Linked DNA regions of Pelodiscus sinensis. The protein of the gene in region 1 interacts with the protein of each later gene in a biochemical or structural test. Links are inferred from orthologs where the notes say so. Each region holds a gene or a part of one and is shown on either strand. Other genes may lie near its edges.

Evidence for each region. The genes of interacting proteins can lie anywhere in the genome.
Region 2: the proteins of NHLRC1 (region 1) and EPM2A form a complex in vitro, tested with the Homo sapiens proteins (3 studies listed by BioGRID, with this or other methods). The link is inferred for Pelodiscus sinensis from reciprocal best matches to the Homo sapiens genes NHLRC1 and EPM2A.

The regions. Positions count from the first base shown.
Region 1 is NC_134712.1:105,713,185-105,720,965, forward strand, and holds the start of NHLRC1 (E3 ubiquitin-protein ligase NHLRC1), read left to right. Parts: upstream 1-4,769; 5' UTR 4,770-7,663; coding exon 7,664-7,781. Other genes in the region: TPMT (thiopurine S-methyltransferase), read left to right, coding at 856-941, 2,782-2,826, 4,239-4,360. UniProt on the Homo sapiens protein: E3 ubiquitin-protein ligase. Together with the phosphatase EPM2A/laforin, appears to be involved in the clearance of toxic polyglucosan and protein aggregates via multiple pathways.
Region 2 is NC_134713.1:103,253,898-103,261,228, forward strand, and holds the start of EPM2A (laforin), read right to left. Parts: upstream 3,002-7,331; 5' UTR 2,943-3,001; coding exon 2,681-2,942; intron 2,431-2,680; exon of another isoform or gene 2,253-2,430; intron 1-2,252. UniProt on the Homo sapiens protein: Plays an important role in preventing glycogen hyperphosphorylation and the formation of insoluble aggregates, via its activity as glycogen phosphatase, and by promoting the ubiquitination of proteins involved in glycogen metabolism via its interaction with the E3 ubiquitin ligase NHLRC1/malin.

The DNA.
Region 1 (7,781 bases):
TAGTGTTTTGTTCAGAATTACAAATATTTTAGATTTACAAACAACCATCATTCCTGAGGAGTTTGTTCATAACTCTGAGGTTCTACAGTACATTACTTATTAGAGCCCTGTGCTGATACAAAATGTGTATCCACATCAGTATTTGCAAAAATGAGCTGCGGATATCCTCATCCATACCTGTGGATGCAGCTATCCATGGATATCTGTGGATTTACAGGGCTTTATTTATTAAGTTCTATACCAGCAGTAGCAAACCTACTGTTCCCATCTAGTGGTAGATCTGGAAAATGCTTCTCATGTTTTTGTTTGTTTGGGTCTCCACTGTTTTCACCATTTTCACCTCACTCCATCCTGTTTATTCTCCTCTTTTCCCCTTTATTTCCCTCCTCCAGTCTTACCCAGGAATATCTCTCTTCACCTTACCTGCTACTGGATATTAACTTAAGTTGAATACATGGTCCTGACTTTGTAGAAAATGCAGTGAATTAACAAAATCAATACCATATAGGCAACTTTACAGTAGCTATAGACTACTGCAGACTTAAATACTGTCAGCTTTCATTTTCTTGTTTTTGTTAGTTCACATAAAAATTGTTGTGTTTGTGCATGTGCACGTGTTGAAAGTAGAAATGTATTAATTTTATTTAGGATTTCATATGTTGTGTGTATACCACAAAGGATTTTACTCTAGAACCTCCTCAGTTAAATTAGTCTATATGCATTTTAAGGGAATGTTTGTACTGTTCTGTGCAGGAATACATTGTGTAACTTTTTTGCTGAACATTTTGAGTACTCTATGTACCAAATCTTTACAAAACAATCACAAATGCAAATATTTATTTTTTTTCTTTTTAGCTATGCCAATTTGATGTTGTCTCTAATGGAAAGAAGCTGTTGTTATCTCATGGTTACTGTTCTGTATGATGCAAATAAACATAAAGGTCAGAACTTTTAATCATTTTCTTTAGAAGTAATATCACTTTTATATATTTTTATATACACCACACATAGTAGGGGGCAGTGCCTGCTGCTGACTGCAGTTGCCAACACCACTGTCTGTGGGGGTAAGCAAGCCAGGCTCTCCCCCCAGGGGCTGTGCCAGCCCTGGCCTCTTCGGCCCCTCCAACAGCCAGGGAGGGGAAGGCCAGGGGCCATGCCAGCCCCAGCTGCTGGGGAGAGTCCAGGGCCATGCCAGCCCCAGCCTCTCACTTCCCTCAGCCACAGCCCTGGCCTCTCGCCTTCTCCCTCCCCCCCCCCCCCCATCCTCCTCACCAACCTCCCCCCAGCCACAACCAACCCCGGACTCCCTCCCCCCCCCCCCCCCCAGGCTGCTGGAGGAGGGCCAGGGCTGAGCCGGAGGGACGGGGGCAGCAGCAGTGGCTCCTTGCTGCTCTGGGGTTCCTGACGCTCAGCGGGGAACTACTACTTCTGGCTGCTCGGGCAAGGCATGCTGGGGATGTTGCATGCCTGGAGCTCCAGCTGAGACCCACCTCTCCCCGTAAAATTAGTGCACCAGCGTCGGCTTCCTGCAGGGAAGAGAGGCCCAAGGCTCCGTACCGGAGGCAGCTTGCAGAGAAGCGCACACGCTGCTATGAAGAAGGGGGCCTCTGGCGTGGAGCCTCGGGGTTTTCTCCTCTCCCCACTCCCCCACAGGAAGCTGGCACTGGTGTACTAATCTTGCAGGGGGAGGGGGCAAGAAGTTCCCAGCTGGAGCTCCAGAAAAGCGGTGGCCCCAGTGCTCCTGGCCCGAGCTGCCGGAAGCAGTGGTTCCCTGCTGGGTCCTGGAGCATTGGGGTCCCCAGTGCAGCAAGGAGCCATTGCTGCCATCCACTGATCCTCCTTCAGGGGAGCCGGGGGCTACAAGGGGTGGGAAGAACAGTCCTGAGCCATGGCTGCCTCTTTCCCTTCTGGGAACTCTGTTGAGCCTGGGGGGGGGAGAGGGCAGCGTAGAGTAACGTGATATCACTTTGTCACCCTGCAGGAAAAACTTTTTTCAATATGTATATGGTAAAATTTTGCCTCAGTTGTTTGTGTCAACAAATTTGGTGTCCAGATTTTGTATGTGTTTCTGTTTATTTTTAACATTCATGGTAGTAAAAGTTTATGATGTTTTGTTTGTTTGTTTGAAAATTCTTTATAACCCTGTTTCCACTTGCTTCTCAGCTTTGGAATAAAATTCCTAAAAGGCAGAAATTTTTCATGCTTGATCTCAATGCTAAAAAGGGCAGGGGGGAAGGAAGATGGGAATTGTGAAACAAAATGAAAAACAATGTTGCCTTCACTATTTTTTATAAAGTGTGTCCTGTTTACCCCTTTTGTTGCCACCCCTCCCTTACTCTAGCTTTGCTCCCTCATTTGCACCCTCATTATCTGAAAATCATATTATATTTATGATGGGCACTAAGGCAGGATTTTCAGTACCTCATGACCTAAAATCAGGCATGGCTTCCTCCAGGTGGTATAATCATTCATTAATGAATGTTTGCAAAATGCTTTGAAGATGAAAAGCTTTATATACATGTTAAGTATTATATCGGGCTGATGAATTATTTTTATTAAGCCCAGATGTGCCTTCAGTTTTCCTTGATAATTATTAACTTAATACAAACAGGTTTTCCACTGCTTATTGAACAGCTCTTGAAAAACATTGTAAAATAACCTATAATAATTCATTTTTATAAGAGAAAATGTTAAAATATATTTGGCCAGTGTTTGCTTCATTATAATATTAGAAGAGTCATTATGACTTTTGCTGATTCAACTTTCCCTTTTTCTCCCCAGGTCCACCATTTTATGTTCCTGATACTGAAATTAAAAGTTTATTTGGTAGGTTAACTCCACTGCAGTTATGATTTTTCCAAAACGTCGCAAACAAATGTGTTGATATTCTAGTATTTTGACTTGTTCTGAAGCAATTGAGAAGAAAGCCTATAAGGATGTTTGCTTCATGTACAAAATCTGGGGAGACATACAGTGTGAAAATAAATACCTTTTCACTCCAAGATTATTGATATGCACAACAAACATCACTTCCCTGAAAGATATATAGGCTCATTGTTTAAATACACACTGTAAAGGAAATATGAACCTGTGCTACCAATAAGACATGTACAGTCCCTATGGCCCAAGGTTACTTTCCATGCGGAGTCTTCAATAATAGGGATGTGGACGACTAGTCGACAAGCAAATGCTTATCGGCTAGTCTACTTGAGTAGTCACTTCCCTTCCTCCTCTTGTTGCCTCTGTCAGAAAGAGGCAGCAAGTGGTGGGGGAAGAGGAGGTGGTACTCAGTGGCAGTGTCCCCAGGCTGCATGCAGCATTTCAAAGCGGCAGTGCCACACTGACGCTGGGCACCCTGCAACGTTTCTAAGCGTCAGCGCCACACAGAGCCCAGGGTCAGCGGGGAAATCGCCAGCTGATCCCGGGCTCCCCGTGGCACTGCCGCTTTGAAATACTGTGGGGAACATGGGGCCAGCAGGGGACTGTCCTGCCAGTCCGTGCTCCCCACAGTGCTTTCGCCTTTGAAATATAGCAACAGCCCTGCACTGTTCCAAAGGTGGAGGTGCCCTATTGACTAATCCAATAGTGGATACAAATTATATCAACTATTCAATTAGTCAATTACTCAAAATGTAACATCCCTATCCCATAATTCAACCTATATCCCTATGTTCATTTATCCCATAGCTTATCACTGCTGGCCCTATAATAATTTTCTCATGTCCTTTCTGATCTGACATTTTGGTTGGTCCCCCCTCCTATGCCCCCAAGCCTTATTGTTTGTTCATTTAACACAAGTACCTTGCCCCATTATCTGTGTGTTTTCTGCTATAATTCTGAGACCAAAGTTAACTTGCAAAAAAAAAAGTATGATGATAGTAAACCACCATGTTAAGGGAATTAAAGATCGAAAGTAAAACTACTGAAACAACAAAATTGAGTTAAGATTGACATTTCATCCTTGAGATGCCTTAAATTAAACTTTGGTTCACAGTTCCTGTAGTTTACTCCCGTCTCAAACCTCTGAAGGATCTAAACAGCATGAATTATTCTTAATTAACAGTGGCATACAATTGTGAAAGAGGGCTAAATGCTGGTTACCTTATTTATGCTGGTCTACAAATGAGTTAGATCAGAAAGATTTGTTCTAAGAGCATAAAAAGTTCACGATTGAAAAAGCAAAAACAAATTATTGTAATCTTTTATCATATCTGTACATTGCTAATCTTCTTTTTCAGGAAAATTCTGTGAAATCAAGGATCTTGAGAAGGTTGATGACTTCTCGGACAAGCACAGGGCCTGGGGACTAGATTATTTCCTGGAAGTAATATATTTGCTTACTTTAAAGTCTGTTCCTTGATGAAACAATGAACAAAAAATGTATTAAGATGGAAAGAATTATATTGATCACACTTTCTTTGACATGAGCTGGATATTTGGAATTCTGAAATGCCTCAGGGTATGAAAAGTGGGTTCTGGGACATCTTTGTCTTTTGAAGACTTCATGCATTCAAAGACAATTAACTATACATCTGATTTGATTTGCGTAATCTGCATTGTAAGATTTGTAGCATTGAAATTATTTTAATAATCATTGTAACATTGTACCTCTGTCTCCTGTATTATTTCAAATAATTAAAATAAAAAATAATGTATATAAAAAGAAATTGCAGTTTTCCATACCAACCAATATTGCCTGTCTGCCTGGAGCTTTGTAGTCTCGTATCAGGTACTCACAGTCCCAAACTGTGTCCTGGAAACTATGCTGTTACAAGCTGCAGGATGGAAAGTTTTTATGTTTTGGGATTCTGGAGTCCTGCCACTACTGGCTGCTGGGTAGAAGAGACAAGAGTCTATTTGGTGGCTGTCTTTTTCTCCCTATCTCTCTTGCTCTGTGCTATGTGGATTGGAGACTGGCTGGCAGAGAGCAAAGCAAAATAATCAACAGCAACCATGACTGGATGAGGGATCAGCTATAGATGTACAAGATGAATAAAGAAAGTGAATAGAAAGGGGAGCAGAACACACTGGGAGTAGATGATCTCTGAAGTTTTCCATGACTATGATATTCTTCCCCCTCAATACAGCAATTATGAGTACAGGAATCTCGCCATAGGAGGAAGAATTGTATGGGGAATGTGGCTTGTCGGCCGTAAGGGAGACCTTTCTGCAGTTTGAATAAGCATATGAGCTTTCGGATATTTATCGGAACTCAAACCCTTTAGGGGTTCTCCCATTGCTAGTTGACAGATACTACTACAACTTTGCAAAATGGAGGTTTTGTTTTGAGTCCCTAATAATAGATCCATTTTTTAAATATCTAAAATTTACCAGGATGCAGACCAGTGTTCCCTGTAGGCTGTTTGCTTGTGCAGCCACTCAGGAGAGATTCAAATGTCATCTAGTTGATTAGCAGACTGCCCACAGCTAGACTTTTCATTTATATTGATGGTGCACATTCACATATGCCTTGGTGCACATAAAAATTATTCCACACATGAATGGAAAAGATTAGAAGGACCATTGATGCTGACACATTCTACTATTGGTTTGCAGACCCCTTTTCTTCTCCTTCTCCTATTCCCTTATACAGAGAAGTGCTTCTGAAACCAAAGCTGATTTACAGTATCGCAACATGATATTTAAAGGGTGTGATGGTTAAAGCAGTGATCAGGAGCCACGCTCAAGCAACTTCAAAGCCCTTTTCCCTTTCAAGTTTCTTTTGGGGTTTTGGTAAGTCTTTGTGTGGTGAAGGCTTGTCAGATGGTTTCTTCTTACCTACACCATAACATCAATCAGCTCCTGAGACACAGCAGTTTTCTTCGTGTGAGCAACACTCCTTTTTATGCTTGCTTCCTCCAGCTGGTAGTATATCTGGTAGGGATAGAACCCGGAATTGTTTATTAACCTTGTAATTGGCCCTTCACACAGTGGTTAAAAACAGAAGAGAAGTAGAAGCAATGTCTTATATTAAGTATATGTCTCTTGCTCCCTCCATTTCTCTTTACGGCAAGCATTGGATATTCCTTGCAATCATTGTATTGAAAGAATTGGCAGGTCTGATGTGTCCAGCATATTTGTAGTTGTAGTGAGTGATCATTTTATAGTTTAAACGAAGGGTGTGGTGTGGGTGTTGGGTGGTGGTTGGTTTTTTTTTTTTTAAACCCTTGAAGTTGGATAGAGAGAAAAGCAGAAAACCCCTACTGGCTGACTATATAAATACGGCTCTCCCAGCATCCCAATCAGTTTGTTCCTTTGCTTACATCGGAATCTATCTTCTCAGAAAGATAAGCCAACTACAGAGGATGAACAATGTACTTACAAGAAAAATAAACAACAAGGATAAAGAGAAAAGCAATTCTTACACAGCAACATCCAAGCACTGAGATGAGGTAGTGTGATATGTACAGAAAAGAAGCTGAAAGACGTTCTTTTTCTTCTCTAATGATACCAGCATTGTGAAATCCTCACTCCTGGGCTTTGAGATAATGGATATTCAAAAATTAAAGTAAGTAAAACTGAAGTGCGCAACAATATTAAGACCAAGGCCAACACTGTGAATGGGAAGATTTTAAATATAAATACAATGAGTAAGATACTAACATTCAAGTTTGCCAAAAAAGACAGTAATGAGAGAGAAAATCAATACATTAGACCATCAGTTTTTGCAAGACACATCCCCAAATTAAAATCAACACTTAGTGCATGAGGGAAATTTGATCCCACCTACTTTGGAAACAAGTTTTGGAACACAATGAGTTTGAAACAGCATTCCCAGGAGCCCGAATGCAAGCATTAATACTTTAGTAAAGGTACACAGAGGGCATCATGTAGCCATTTCTTTTACATCATTCACATACATCTGTGATAGGATGTCTGATTTCAGGGATGTTTCTATTAGACATAATCTTCTTGATCATAACATAGTTGAGTAAACTGTTAAAAGGAACAGTTAAAAGGACTTAGTCTACTTCCAGCAGAACCCCAAGGAACTTTTAGCTGTGACCATATGGAGAAGGGCCTCCTGGGATGGGCAAGATGGGTGTGGGAAGAATGCTAACAACAAGAGGTCAGAACAGGAAGTCTTTGTTCCTGAAATTCCCAGCATCTTGCTAGTAGCAGGATAAAAGATGGAAGAAAACAGTGGCCTGAACTGCTTCTCTAACAGATTAAATTCCTGCTCTTGACTGGATTCCTGAAAATGATGAACCCTGTTCATTTATTGCATCCTGAATAATTACCATATAAATTGTCCATTACTCCTCCTGCTCCGTTACTCCTGCTTCTATGAATTATTGGACTTTTATCACATATTGATTCTTGAAAACTGATGTGGACTATGAAACCATGCTTAAATTACTCTTGTTTAAATGATATGAGACTGGGATTTATAGCTTACAGTTCAGATATATTTTCATGCCAAATGAAATTTAAAAAAAAAATTGAAGAAAAAGGGAAGATAATAAAGTAATTCCCATTCATTTTGGTGAGCCCATTGCATTTTCCCAACTTTCCTTTAGATGGCAGGAGATTACAACCAATGCTTTTATGTATTTATGGAAAGGTCTCTGATGTAATGCAGTCCTGTGACTGTCCAATGTGACCAGATTTCAGCGTCACATTGCTAGCATAGTTTAATCAACAATCTTCTTAAACCTGCACTATGTCTGCCACGGCCTCTGATAAAATGCAGATTATGACAGAACTGGTGAGCGAAACTGAGGTCAGTCTTCTTGAATGCAAAGTGTGCTTTGAAAAATATACCCAGAAGAAGAAACATC
Region 2 (7,331 bases), on another chromosome or scaffold:
AATCCTAGAAAATCATCTGTGGATGCATAATTTAACTATTCTGTGTTTACAAGAAAAAAGTCCAAGGTACTATTCTAATACCTTCAAAAAGATGAGTACCAAAACCCATCCACTCGAAAAAGAAAACACCTATTTTGCAAGCAATCAGATGGCTGATAAAGGCAGAAAGTCTTTACTACAGGGGTGGAGAACCTTTTCTGGGTCGCAGGCTGCTGACCCACAGAAAAATCAGGCAGGGTCCATACAAGCGAGAAGCAAAACAAAACAAAAAGCTCCCAAACCCTCACTGAGGCGGCCCTCGACCGAGGAGGAAAAAGTGACTCCCCACATTCCCCTGACACACTAGAGCCTGGAGTGGCCCAGGCTAGTACATTTTGTATGCTCCAGCCCCACAATGGGGCAGCAGGGGCACTGGACCACCATGCAGCTTCCAAATGCTGAGGGGAAGCCCTGAGTCTTGGGGGCGGGGGACCAGATCTGGGTAAGCTGAGGGCCACATTTGGCCCCCAGACTTTAGGTTCCTCACCCCTATTTTACTACTATAGCAGCACATATTTTCTGGATTCCTCACATATACCCAATAAAGACAGAATCCTTAAAGTTGACTGTAAAGTGAGTGATCTAATAGCAAAGAAAGTTCCAACTATATTTCTCTGGTCTCTCAACCAACCTCGGAGTTTGGCACAATATACAAGAGAAAAAATACCGTATATACTCGAGTATAAGTCGACCCGAATATAAGCCGAGGCACCTAATTTTACCCCAAAAAACTGGGGAAAAGTATTGACCCGAGTATAAGCCTAGGGTAGGAAATAAGGCAGCCTAGGGTAGGAAATGAGTCGGGGCGAAAGCTGCTCCGGTGCCCCTGGTCTGCTGGAGACCGTCTCCAGCAGACCAGGGGCACCGGGCGGGTTCCCGCGCTTCTGAGGCTTTGCCAGAGCAAAGCCTCAGAGGCGCGGGGAAGCGCCGCTGCTGCCGCTTCAATCTGGGTGCCTGTGGTCTGCTGGGGACCGTCCCCAGCAGACCACAGGCTCCCGGACTGAAGCCGCAGCCGCGGGGGGGGCGGGTCCCGCGCCTCTGCGGCTTTGCCCGCCTCAGTTCGAGATGCTGACTCGAGTATAAGCCGAGGGGGGCATTTTTCAGCACAAAAGCTGTGCTGAAAAACTCGGCTTATACTCGAGTATATACGGTACTGAAAATCTGCCTCTCTATTTTTCCTGACCAAAAAATCCCCAAAATCCTGAGGCTGCAATTTTATTCCAAAGAAAGCTAAGCTTTCTATATTTTGAGGGAGACTGTTACAATCCTGTTGGATAATATCAGAGCTACAGTGACAGTTTTGCACAATAGGACTCTTAAGTCTATATGAATACTGATTACAAGGAAAGAATTACAAGTTGAGAGATTTATCTGGATCAAATACTGCGCTTAGTGGTTTACTATATTACTATAATCCCATCTATTTATCAGTATCTGGTTTCTTCAGCTCTTCAAGAAAGAGACTGTCTGTTAAAAACTGAGCACATTTTGAATGCTACCACAAGACAAATAATAATTACAAAATGAAGCAATCCAATTAATTCATATGCCATTGTTATAATTAGGCCTTTCACTTGCTGTGTTAAGTAGCAAATTTTACACAGTAAACACATAATAAAGCTCTTAATGCAAAGGTGGGGAACTCTTTTGGGTTGGGGACCACTGACCCACAGAAAAATCAGCCAGGGGCCACACACAACTGAGAAACAACCCCTCCCCCCCCACAAACACTCACAGATGTGGCCCCTGACTGAGGAGGAGAAAAGCTTCAGAGGTAGCCGGATCTGTAACTGGAAAAACTTAAAAAACAACAAATAGTCTTGCAGCACCTTAAAGAGGAACAAAACATATAGATGGTATCATGAGCTTTGGTGGGTACAACTGACTACTTCAGATGAATGGAGTTATTAAAAGTAACTGGACTTATTAAAAGCTGGGGGCGGGGAACTGAACTCCCTTTGGGGGCCGGATCCAGGCAGCCCAGGCCTTAGGTTCCCCACCGTGTCTTAATGGGTTGATTTCTCTTGGCCTTTGTAACGGCCATACACCAAACACTTCACGGTGCATAGCTGAAGGTGTTTTTTCCATTCGACAACTACATTATACATCCCTTTCTTGGCATCTTCCACTCAGGGTATAATCCAACAAAGGAATTTAAACTTTATTGCCGAAAGGCTTGTTCACACATGCAAATAAACATCCGAGACACGCACCAATGACGTGATAACATTTCCAAAGCGTGGGTGCCCACCTCGCGGTACTTCTCCCCCCCGTGCTCCTTGATACTAGACACTCGGGCTCCCCTGCACTACAGCGGCACAGCCGGGGGGCCCTACCCTACTGTAGAGCCGAGGCTTCCTCTCTGGAGGGAAGGGGTTTCTCCGCAGCGCCGGTTAGTTAGGGCTGTTCGAAAGCGGATAATTGGGGAACTAGACGGGGGCGCTCAGAGCCCGCAGCCGGGACACCGTCCAGAAAAACCCCTCGTGCGGGGGGGGGGGGGGGGGGGGGCAAGCTCCCTACAAGCGAGACGCAACGGGAGTCCCGCGGCAGCAGCTGCTCTCCGCGCGGCCCGGCCTGGCTGCGCCCCCGCCCCGCAGAGGCCGAGCAGCAGCCCGGGGCGGGGGGAGGTCCCCGGCGCTACCTTCCCAGACGGTGTCGGCGCCGCGCCGCCGCAGGAACTTGAACCAGAAGGTGCCCGCGGCCTCCTCGTCCGGCAGCGCCGCCTCCGCCAGCCACAGCGCGGGCTCCTGGGCGGGGAGCGGGGCCGCCGGGCGCGCGGGCTTCATGGGCAGCGCGCGCTGCGGGTCCCACTGGCCCAGCTCCGGCCGCGAGCCGGCCACCAGGAGCACCGCGCCCCCCGCGCTCAGCCCGGCCGGCAGCACCACCCCGAAGCGGAACAACATGGTAGCGCCCGGCCCGCTCCCGGCCGCGGGGAAGGTGAACGAGTCCTGCACCCCCCCCCCCCCCCCCCCCCCCCGGGAGACTTGTCACCTCCCCACCGCTAGAGGGACCCCACATGCCGCGCGCTTCTGGGATGTGACGTCACCTGGCGCACGGGTGTGAGGCACGAAAAGCGGGCGCGCCACTTGTTGGTGTGTAGGGTCTCACGCGCATGTGCGGGAAGAGGAGGGAGGGGGGGATTGAGCGCGTGCTGCTCCCGGGGAGCCGACGTGTCGGGCGCTGGGCACGCGGCTCGTTCGGGTCCTAGCGCAGCTTGTGAGTTTAGCTCGCGTGGAACTGTGGCTGCCGCCAGCTCAATTCTGCAGCAGCCCCGGAGCCTCCTCGGGGGGGGGGGCTTCTTGCGGCCAGGGGACCCCTCGCTCGCGCCGGGAAAGTTCACCCCTGGAGTTGGCTGCAGTGGAAAAGTTAGCAGTAGAAGGGGCCCCACTGTGCGCAGCAGGGACGACACGGGGCGCTGTTACCAATAATCGCTTGAGTTCTACTAGCAAACCAAACAGAAGTCTAGTAAAGGGGAGAGAGAGGGACACAGAGCCCGTAAAATTTGCATTACTTGCACTCGCGCTATTTATATCTCCTGGAAAATGCCCCGGTGTGTTGGTCATCATTCTCACTGTTGTCATCAGCTTTTCTAATGTGTGTGTTAGGCTAATGCCTCCTAGTGGTTTATATATAGGGAGATTTTTACTACTTGAAGCTATGCACCCCACTTCTTTGGGGTGCCCCATTTACATTTGTGTCTTTGTCATAGAAACAGGCTAGCACAATGGTGAGTAATCTGCATCCCATTGGGGTTCTATTTGTAGCCTGAGGGACATTTTGTTTACTGTTGCCTGCCCACCGGATTGCCAGAGTCAGCTGCTTTCTGTCTGTATAGTTTGTTTCCTACTTGTGTTAAAGTACATGCACATACAGTAAGGCTACGTCTAAACTGGCATGATTTTTCACAAATGCTTTTAACGGGAAAGTTTTTCATTAAAAGCATTTGCGGAAAAGGGCATCTAGATTGGCACGGATGCTTTTCCACAAAAGCACTTTTTGCGGAAAAGCGTCCGTGCCAATCTAGGTGCACTTTTGCGCAAAACAAATCTGAGCTGTCTACACTGGCCCTTTTGCACAAAAGCTTTGTGCAAAAGGGACTTTTGCCCAAACGGGAGCAGCATAGTATTTCCGCAAGAAACACTGATTTCATACAGTAGGAAGTCAGTGTTCTTGCAGATATTCAAGTGGCCAGTGTAGACAGCTGCCAAGTTTTTCCGCAAAAGCACTTGCTTTTGCGGAAAAACTTGCCAGTCTAGACGCAGCCGGCAGGTATATGAAGCGAGTTATGTGCTCAATGCGTGCAACTTTCTGGAAGCCATGTGCTCCCTCTACATCCATCCAAACAACACGCTGCTACAGTTTAATCAGCACCGCCCCCTCCCCCCGAATTCTAGGTACGAAGGCATGGGTAGAAAAACTACCCTATTCATGGAAACCATCTTGGTTACAACAATCTTGCATTCCAGTGAGATGGAGGGGCACTTGTGGCCCGCTCACTAGCTGCCTATATTGCCCATCACTGATCCACACTGAATAGTTTACACTACAGTTTAAGCCCCCAATCTTGCAAACATCTTCTCACAGGTAGAAGTGTTTGCAGGATTGATATCGGTGAAGAATGTTAGCTAATGTGTTCAGTAGTGTCATTTTATGTATGGGATTGTAGGCAAAGTGAAACCTGTGGATGGACACGAGACAGGTAATATCCATAGGCGTGCGCAGCACATTTCATTAGGGTGTGCACCCAAAGAATTTTTTAAAAATGTACTTTACCCCCATTAGCCCTGACCCTGTTAGCCACGCTCCTGACCCCCAGTGGCCACACCTCTGGAGGCAACACTTTCTGGGCAAGATGGACACATGACCAAAAGGTGTCATGTGACCCCCCCCCCGGACTTTTCCCACTATCCTCCTACCAATATGGATTAGTTTGCCCCCCCCAAAACTCCCCTCATGCAACTATCCTGCAGTTGCATTACCCCAATGTGTAAGACATTAACTCAGGGTGGAGAGGCTGGGGGAAGTGTTCCCTCTAAGTTTCCTCCGATGAGCAGAATGAATTTTGAGTTGTGCATGTAGCTTGTTTGGATGTGTCACTCTGGCACCCAAGTTATTAATAAATATCTCATAAATCTCTACCTTTACCCTCTGTTGCCATGTCTCCTCCCCTTGCTCCATCAGCTCCCCTGGTGCCTGCTGCCCCCCAACCTTTCGCCCTCCTCTGCTGTCCTGACTTTTGCCCTTCTCACTGCCCTCAGCCTTCCTGAGACCTGCCCCCCTCCACCAGCCCTTCTCCCCCCCACCGTGCCTACTCCTCCAGTAGCCCCACTCTGATCATGTGAGCTACCCTTCCTCATCCCCTCTCGTAACACCTCCCTCTACACACCTGCCCTGCCTCTCTTCTCTGGTGCTGGTACCTCCCCTGCAGGTGTCTGCCCTTCTGCTTCACCCCCAGAATCGCCTGGCACCTGTACCTTCCATTACCCCTGCACCCTCCTGGTGTCCCCCTTCCCTCAGTGCCCCTGCCCCCTTTTTTCCTGATGCCCACCCCCTCACTACCCTCTGCCCCCATTCCCTTCATGCTCCTGTGCCCTCACACATGCCTTGCTCCATCCCTGCCTTCCTCATTCCCACCCCTTCTTTCAAGCCTTCTCCCAGCACCTCCCCTTCTCCTCTCTAGCCCCCAAAACCCTTACCCTCTCCTCTCCCGGCATCACCCTGTCCCCCCTCCCACTGACACCTCCCCTCCTGCCCTTTTCCTCATTGTCTCCACTTGGCCCTCTGGCATTTGCCTCTCCTCTACCCTGTCCCTTAGTGTTTTCCCCTTTCTTCTCCTGATCTTCCCCCTCCCTTCAGCACAATCCCCTTCCTCTCCCACCCCTTCCTCTTATTTTTCCCCCTCCTCTCCCCTTCCCTTCCTTCCCTTCGGCTTCTGCCTCCAATTCGCAGGGCTGGAGTCAGAGCTGGCCCAAGCTACAGGCCGACCAGGCCCTAGCTGGGGTGCCCCCAGGACGCCGCACGGTGCTGCCAGGCTGGGCAGGGGTGTCCCCGGGGCGCCTCGGGGGGACCGTGCGGTGCTGCTGGGCCGGGCAGGAGCATCCCCAGGGCGCTGCGTGGTGCTGCCGTGCGGGGAGGAGGGTGCCTCAAGGGGTGGCCGCACGGTGTCCCCAGGGCACCTGAGGGGGCGCCGCGCAGTACTGCCAGGCTGAGGGGAAGGTGCCTCGGGGGGCCACACGGTGCTGCCGGGCCGGACGGGGCGCCCCCGGGTGCATAAGGGGCGGTGTTGCGGGGCCCGGAGCGCAAAAATGGCTCGGGCCAACCAACATTTGTAGTAGGGCCTCAGCTGCTTCTGGAGCTGGGCCACACAGTTTGAAAGTCCCGGGCCGTGATGTCACGTCACAGCCAGGCGTCTCCCCTCTCACCTGTTCCGCGGCATTTCAGCACGCCGCGCATGCGCACTCTGCCCCACAGTGCCCCGTAGATGGCCGTGGGGAATTTAAAGTGAGGGTTTGTGGCGCTCCGTCACAAATTCCTCTCCTCCTCCGGCAGTCACTAGCTGGCCCAAGACATTAGGGTGTGCCTAGGCACACCCGGCACACCCTGTACGCATGCCTATGGTAATATCTGAGGACACAGTAAATGCATTTTCGATTGCTAGATGGAATGTTCAGTTGAATTGCAGCAGGTGGGTAAGAGCCTTTGTAAGAGCATTAAGACTTGCCGGCTGAAAGCTTGATTACTGGGACCTAGCTGACACTGCCAGGAAGGGGCTCTAATTGGTTCATTCATAGTTTTACTTGCAGTTAATAAAGCCACAAATCATTAAATGGGTCAAGATTGGAGCTGTGGTGACTTAAGTTTTCCTGCAGTGGCTTTGAAAAGTACCTAACATCTGTATCAGACAGCACCTGGTCCTGGGGACATGGTCCTTCGTCTAAGAGAGCAGAGTGAGCAATGAGGTAAAATTGCCAAGCGTGCAACCCAATGGTTGCACAAATTATCTGAGCCCAGGGCATAGGAAACCCAGGATCATTAGATGGCCTAAATGGACATCACTGAGTAAAGTTGGGGAAAAGAAGGTAAGTTAGCAGAGGTGTCTAGGGATGATCCCCCATCTGGGACTGCCCCAGGCCCCTCAGCTGCCATTTTGGGAGCTGGGGGAAGCTGCAGCCACACTTACCTGGTCAGTGTGGGTTTTTCCCCCTGTTCGCTGTTACTAGGAAGTGAGGAAAAAGTGCAGAGCCTGCTGTGTCCTCTTGCTCTGGCTGCCCCAGAGGGGCAGAAGAGAAACG